2 linked regions of the Oryctolagus cuniculus genome follow. The protein of the gene in region 1 interacts with the protein of each later gene in a biochemical or structural test. Links are inferred from orthologs where the notes say so. Each region holds a gene or a part of one and is shown on either strand. Other genes may lie near its edges. The genes, in order: TNFRSF8 and TNFSF8.

Region 1 (3,813 bases):
GCTTGGCAGGTGCGTGGAGTCCCGCACTCCTCACGGCCCCAGCTGGGGGGGGGGGAAGACCTCATCCACTCCTCCCCCATGGGGGCACCTGAATAGACAGCGTCCGCCCCCCCCCCCCCCACTGGCCAGAGTCCAGGTCCCAGTACCACCACCTCTGGCCACGCCCCGCCCGGCCTCTCCAACTTTCCCCAAAACATCAGAGCGAGTTCAGAAACGGCCCTCGTGACGCCTGGCCCAGCCCCAACTTCCTGCAGAGAGCAAGCAGAGGTGAGTCACGGCGGCTTTCCCGGGCCTGGCCCGCGGGCAAGTCCAGGAGAACCCAGGCTGCCTGGACGCCCCGCCCCCGAGGCTGCAGATCTGGTTGTGGGCCTCCCATCTGTACTCGGGGGGGGGGGGGGGGGCTGCAGCCTGGAAGCCAAGGGCAGCCTTGCTCCTTAGCGTGAAATGCACAGTCCCAGAGTCCAGGCCGAGCCAGCGCGTGCAAGGTCCCGACGTGCACAAGGAGGCAGGACGAACGGCTGGGAGGCGGGTGCTGGCCAACAGCGCACCCCGAGGGCACCCAGCAGTGGCGGCAGACGGCGGGGCTGGTGCAGTGGATTTCAAGCGTAGCAGATGGAGGGAGATGCTTCTCCATTTCCGGGGCAGGGCAGATGGTACCCACAGAGCAGCCAGGGACCCCAGGAAGGGCCTGCAGTTCCCCATCTCGGTGGCAGGAGGAAGTCCCTGGCAAACGAGGCTGCCCCTTGTGAGCATGGCCAGCAGGCGGGGGCTCAGGGGCGGGGCCCTGCAGCTGCTGAGGGGCCGCAGACATCTGGATCCAAGATGCTTCCTGCTGCAGGGGTGGCTGCGGGGGTGGCTGGGGACATTCAGGGACCAGCGAGCTGAGCTGGGCCCACCATGGAGCAAGGAACAGGGAGAGCGGGCAGGAGCAGGGCTGGGGACCAGGCTGAGCCCAGATGGTGCCAGCAATGTTGCCCCATCCCGCAACTTCCCTTTGACTCGGGAGGAACCAGGGGCACTGGCTCTGTGCCTGCGGGGTCCACGTTTGCAGGGACGAGGGGCTGGTGGCAAGGCAGCAAGGCCACAGGAGAGGAGGGGGTGGAGGCAGGGAGTGAGCCGGCCTTCCCGACTCTCCCTCGGTGGGCACTGACTCTCGTGGCGAGTGTCTGGTGCCAAGGCTCTGGAATTGGTGCCCCCAGCAGCAGAGAAAGCAGGGGCCCTGTCTCGGCCATCGATCTGTGGCCCAGCAAAATCACCACTGGGAGCTAGCTCCCTGCAAGGGTCTCCTGTCCAGGCCCCAGCACCCTAGGCTCTGGCTGTACAGTCACCAAGTGGGAGACAGGAGCAGAGACCACCACCACCAGCACCCCTCCCGCACAGATCCACAGGACGCTAGAACCTCCGATCAGGCCACAGGGACTCCAGACCCCAGCTCGGTGTCGCCAGTGCCTCCCTGGCCTCCCGGGGACATCCAGCTGCCCTCTCAGGCCCAGCCCAGGGTGGGCCTCACTTTCCAGAGGCGCTGCTGGGCAGGGGGTCCTCCTTCCCTTCCTCCTCCACTGAGAACGTGACATCTCCACAGCTGCCCAGGGGAGGTTCTGTCTCCTGCTCCGGGTAGTGGGGAGCATGGTCCACCTCCAGCTCCTCCGACTGGGGCTCTGTGGGCCCTGCCACGCCCCAGCCCTCGGGCACCTCGGCCTTCACAGTCCCCACGATCACCGTGTCGGCCTTCATGATATAGATTTTCTCTGCAAGACAAAGAGATGGGCGAGATGGGGAGACCTGCACCCCCGGGAGGAGAGCAAAGAGGCAGAGAAGGGGCCGGGCCTCACTCCTGCCGTTCTCGCTGTGTGACTTCAGGCAGACGGCACAGCCTCTCTGGTGCATAGCGAGCCCCACTATCCTCCCAGGGCCCTGTGTGCTGAGGAGGTAACACCTGACCCACTTGGTACCCAAGAAGGTTGCCTGAGGTGTTCCTCACACTCCCAGGGTGGGGGGCCAGGAAGAAGGAGGAGAACGTGGCTCCGGAGAAGGCAACGGGGAAGGCGCGAGCATGCACCAGGCCCTTCCCACCCTGCCCCAAGCTTCCATGCTCCTGCAAGGCCAGGAGGCCACCGTTGTCCCCCTGGATGGTGAGACCCTAAGGCCACAGAGGCCCACTGACCTGGCTAAGGTCCCAGGCAGTCAGGAGAAACCCCGAGAGACCCCCACCCCATCCAGCCACCTCTTCTGCTCCAGTGGACAGCTGGAGTGGCCGCGCCATCCTGGCATCCTGTCCTGGGAGCCAGCTCAGCCCAGGCCACCCCAGCAGGGGGCACACAGCCTCGCTTTGGGCACACATCTCAGGGCTTTTGGCTGAAGCCCATCTCCCCCGGGGCTGCACGCCCGGCCTGCCATGCACAGTGGGTGCCGGTGGGTCTCCCTCCGCTCATCAGAGGTGCAGTTCCTTGTGGTCCCCACCACAGCCATCACGGGGGCTTCCAGGGCGGCCTTTTCTTCGAGGGGTCACAGGGACTCAGGGGAGTTAAGTGCCCAGGATCTGGGCAGTGGGGATGCCTGACCTTAGCCAGGTCAGCCGCCTCTGGCCCCCAGCACCCAGCTGCCACCAGGGGGAGAACCGGGGAGTGGCAGGCCAGGAGCTCAGGGACCCCTCCCTTGTGGGGTGCTCTGGTCACATCCTCAGATTCGGGGACCCCGCCCCTCGCCCTGTTGCACAATGCTGGCCCTTCTTCGGCTTGCAGCACCCCCAGGAAAGAGAGAAGTGTTCAGAATAGCAGTGAGAACTGGAGGGCAGGCTGGGGTGAGGGGAGGGGGCAAGCACGGGCCAGGTACCCTCTGCACCCCAAAACAGAGAGCAGCGGCTCGGGCCCCAGCCCACGGCCTCCATTGGGGCCTGAGGGCCCCTGGCTCTGGGGTCTCCACCAGAGGGGCTGGGTGAGAAATGGCACCCAGAGGTGGGGGGGGAGGGAGACAGGAGGTGAGACAGGACTCAGAGGACAAACCAGCAGAAGAGGGGAGCTGAGGGGCAGCGCAGCGGGCAGGGGCGCCAAGCAGGGGTGCGACTGGGCAGAAGCAGCCAAAGCAGGGGCCTCCGGCCTCGTCACCTCCGGCAGTCCTGCCCCTGCTGGCTCTGCCTCGGCCACAGGGCTGCCCGCCCTCTGGGAGCTTCCTGCCCTACCAGAGCTCCCAGATCCAGGGGAGCTGTGTCCTCCAGGGGTGAAGGAGGCCAAGAAGGGGCCCCATGGCCAGGTCTGCATTTGGTCCTCTTGGGGGCGCTCTTCTGGGGGTGATCAAGAGGACCAGGGGTCCCTGTGTCCTGGGGTCCAGAGGACCTGCAGGCCTCCCCTGCCCCCATGGCAGAGGGCATCCCCATCAGCACTGCCATCCCCAGTGAGGCTTGCGGGTCGGCTCGTGGGCAGCCTCAGACACGCGACTAAGACTCCTGGACCTCACCAAGCAGGGAGCTGGGGCCCGCTGGAGGGTTCCGAGTGGGGGCATGACACGTCTCACCTCCTGTCTCCCTTCCCCCCCACCTCTGGGTGCCATTTCTCACCCAGCCCCTCTGGTGGAGACCCCAGAGCCAGGGGCCCTCAGGCCCCATTGGAGGCCGTGGGCTGGGGCCCGAGCCGCTGCTCTCTGTTTTGGGGTGCAGAGGTACACTAGGGCGTGACGCGGACAGTGCAGGTACACTAGGGCGTGACGCGGACAGTGTGGGTTCATTTGGGAGTGACATGGACCATGTAGGTGCAATAGGGAGTGACACGGACTGTGTAGGTTCACTAGGGTGTGACGCGGACCGTGCAGGTACACTTG
Region 2 (3,358 bases), on another chromosome or scaffold:
TAGTGATTACCACTGCTTCCCAGGGTCCACCTTAGCAGGAAGCTGGAATCAAGAGCCAGAGCTGGGAGTTGAGCCTAATACTCCAATGTGGGATGTAGTTGTTCTGACTGTATTTTTAACTGCTAGGCCAAATGCCTGTCCCTGCTGTTATTCTTTTAAATGACATGCCTCTTGTGCCCTTGCATGCTGGCTTTATGAACATTGCTTGATAGACACCAAGTTTAGGAACACTCCTAGTACAAAAGTGAGTCCCTCTGTTCAGAGAATGGTTGGTGAACAGTGAAAACAGCACCTTTCTCAAGTTAGAATACAAGATATTATTAGCACATCTGCAAAAGTTTACACACACTTAGGTTGTCTATACATTTTCCATAATGCAGGAGTTGGCTCAGGTATCTCATTTGTCTACACAGTTGGTGTGTTATTCAAATGCAGAAGTCCCCTTGCTCTCCAAGTTTGAGTCCTCCCTTTGGCCTGCTAACCAGTAGGCTTGCTGAATCAGCTTCTCTTTCAATGCCTGCTCTTCCCAAAGAATCTACTCTCAGGAAAAGATGAAGAGACACATAGACTTCACTGAATCTTTCAGAGAGGAGATCTAGGAGGAGCCTGATGTAGCATGTTGCTCAGCAAATGTCTTAAAAGTTTTCCCTTATCCATCTTTGCTTTGCCACATCCCTCTCATCCATACCACAACTGGTGGTTTTGCCTTTAAATCTTTGCCAGCATTTCTCTAACACTGCTGAATTTCTATTCTTTCTTCTTGATGAAAATGCAATTTTTGCTGCATTATTTGGAATAGCAGTCGAGAATTCGTCTTTTCCTTTTGATGCCTAACCTCAGGGGCTTACCCTTTAACTCGGATGCCTTGTCACTATCCTGCAGCAAATGAGGGGCTCCTGCCATGATGACACAGAGATGTCGAGTTGGATGCAGCTGGAGAAGACTCACAACTACTTTCTTGAGGAGAGGAGGCTGCTCTTGTTCATAAGTCCTTCTCATCATTCTCAGGGTCATCATTGTCTATCGACAGTTTTATGGGAACACAAAAGCCCTCCTCCACAGAACTGGTTTCCTAAGGGGTGTTGGAGGCAGCGAACAGAAATGCACCATTCAGGAGATGGCAACAGCTGTTCCCTGACTGACGGCATCACCTTGACCATGACACACAGATGGAATGCTTGCTGAATGCATGGCACTTTCCCGGCAGGAAGCAAAAGCTGTCTGCTGTTGACTTATTGTCATTCTTAACTGGCATGGGGTCAGATCTTGTCAGATGGTTTTCTAAATACCCACGTGAGGGTTAGCTTGTGTTGCAGATCCTGCAATTCCCACCATTATTCAGGGCACCCTGAATATATGCCCATGGTCTCATTCTGTCGAGTTGATAGGCAGCCAGATGCTCCTGGTACCATTGGTTTTATACTGGTATGGGTGCCTTCCTGTAGTTCAGTGCTTCTAGAACCCTGCCTTCAAGCTTAGCTTGATGAGATGGAGGAGACTTTGGAGAGATTCATACCCAGCCTCCCGTGGATCCTGAGTTCAAGTGAGAGAAAGGATTGGCTCAAGGTCATCCAGTGGATTAGTGGTTGGGCAGGCCATATAGCCATTCCCTCTGCTTCCCAGGTGGGGCTCTGTCTACCAACCACATTCCTTTCCTGCCTTCTATCTGAAAGATTCTTGACTCAAAACTCTTTTTAACCCTAGAGTTGTATCTTCCCAAGAGACAGAAGGAGAAATGTGCAATTTAACATGCAGTTTCAGAGTTTGTCTAAAAGTTTTGTTTGCCCAAGTATTTGGGTAGATGAAATACTGTATGGTAGAGAGTTGTTTTCTTCCTGAAGGCCAAGAGAACTGTTTGCTCTTAACTGCTATATAAGAAGATAGACAGCACATTTTCAAGAGGAAAGGTGTTGGTATCCACATACTGGAATTTGTCTACCATCACTGATATGGTGGCATTGACCTGCAAGTAATCCAACAAGAATTGAGAGAGATTCTGGTATATCTCTCTGGTTGGCAGTCCAGATTCACACACTGTCACCAGGGCTTCTCTTTTGACCTCTTTGTTGACGAGAAGCTCCAACTTCAGGTCCACTGAATGGTTTGAACATTGCACAAGAAACTGCAGTTGGCAAATGATGAAGTACCAACCTGGGAACTGGATCACCAGCTTCCCGTCATGGTATGTGACTCCATGGACAATGCCATCTTTGTTCCAAGACAACCTGGTGCTGTTGAGATGCTTGGACACTGGGAATATAAGAAAAATAATTATTGAGAAAATTGCAGGTTTAGGTTGAAAACCTCTTTTTATTCAAGGTGCCTCATTCTAGATCCATATTTCTTATAATGTGCCTATTCTTCAAACCAATTGAATTGCTTTCATATTAATCCTTTCAGGGTCTTCTATTATTTAAGGCATGGGTAGAAAATCACCTGTCTTTCTTTACTCTGATACTCAAAGCTAGAGGGTCACAGAACATGACTATATAGCTACCTCTTATAGAATGGCTTCCTACTTAAGTATTATCATAATATTATTGTGCTATTATTGTCAGTATTATCTTTCCTTTTACAGACTATAAGATCCTGAACTCTATGAGTATTTTTCACAAGGTCTGGACTATCATGTTCATTTATCATGAAGAAAATTTGGTGGGAAACTACTATTAAGTAGGCAATGCACAGAGCATCAGAGATAGCAAATTCAATATTGTGCAACTAAGAACCAAGTTAGACATCAAGGTGTTCAGAGGACTCTCCACTAACTTTCACATTACACTATTCTTGAACTGTTCTTGTGTGGATCTTTGAATGTAGCCTTTAACAACTGTGTAGGCCTCTCACGTACACATTAAGGGACTCCTGCCATCTGGGATTTATAGAAAAGCAGAGAATTGGACCCTGCAAATCTATGTGTGTGTGCTGGAAGCCAAGTCTCTGAGTCTTAGCAAATGAAAATTAGCACTGACTGGTAAGGGTGCCTTTCAGAGCTGGGAAACGGGTATGCTAGTTTTAATTGCTTCTATACTTTCTCTTTCAACCTTCTTGCAATTCATTTGAAGAGTGAGAACTAATCCAACTGCAAAATTGAATTTTTAAAATGAGCAGAGTTGCTATTCAGAGAATCTTGGCCATCTCCATATCTCATTCTTTTGCAGTGTTTCTTATTGTTTCATTTATAAGGAGCCTCTTACCTGAAGCATACTGAAGTATGCAAATAGGCCCTGTGCCAACATGTTCATTAAGCTGTCAATCTGGGGACAAGGCAATTTTGCAGTTCCCCTGTGAATAACTGCAGAGAGGCAGAGATTAAGAGCCTGCTTCTGTGGCACTAGGGGAAGGCGCTGTATGCTTG

What was found.
Region 2: the proteins of TNFRSF8 (region 1) and TNFSF8 form a complex in vitro, tested with the Homo sapiens proteins (2 studies listed by BioGRID and IntAct). The link is inferred for Oryctolagus cuniculus from reciprocal best matches to the Homo sapiens genes TNFRSF8 and TNFSF8.

Annotation. Positions count from the first base shown.
Region 1 is NC_091438.1:156,379,623-156,383,435, forward strand, and holds part of TNFRSF8 (tumor necrosis factor receptor superfamily member 8), read right to left. Parts: intron 1,749-3,813; coding exon 1,507-1,748; 3' UTR 1-1,506. UniProt on the Homo sapiens protein: Receptor for TNFSF8/CD30L. May play a role in the regulation of cellular growth and transformation of activated lymphoblasts. Regulates gene expression through activation of NF-kappa-B.
Region 2 is NC_091432.1:218,371,799-218,375,156, forward strand, and holds part of TNFSF8 (tumor necrosis factor ligand superfamily member 8), read right to left. Parts: intron 2,251-3,358; coding exon 1,862-2,250; 3' UTR 1-1,861.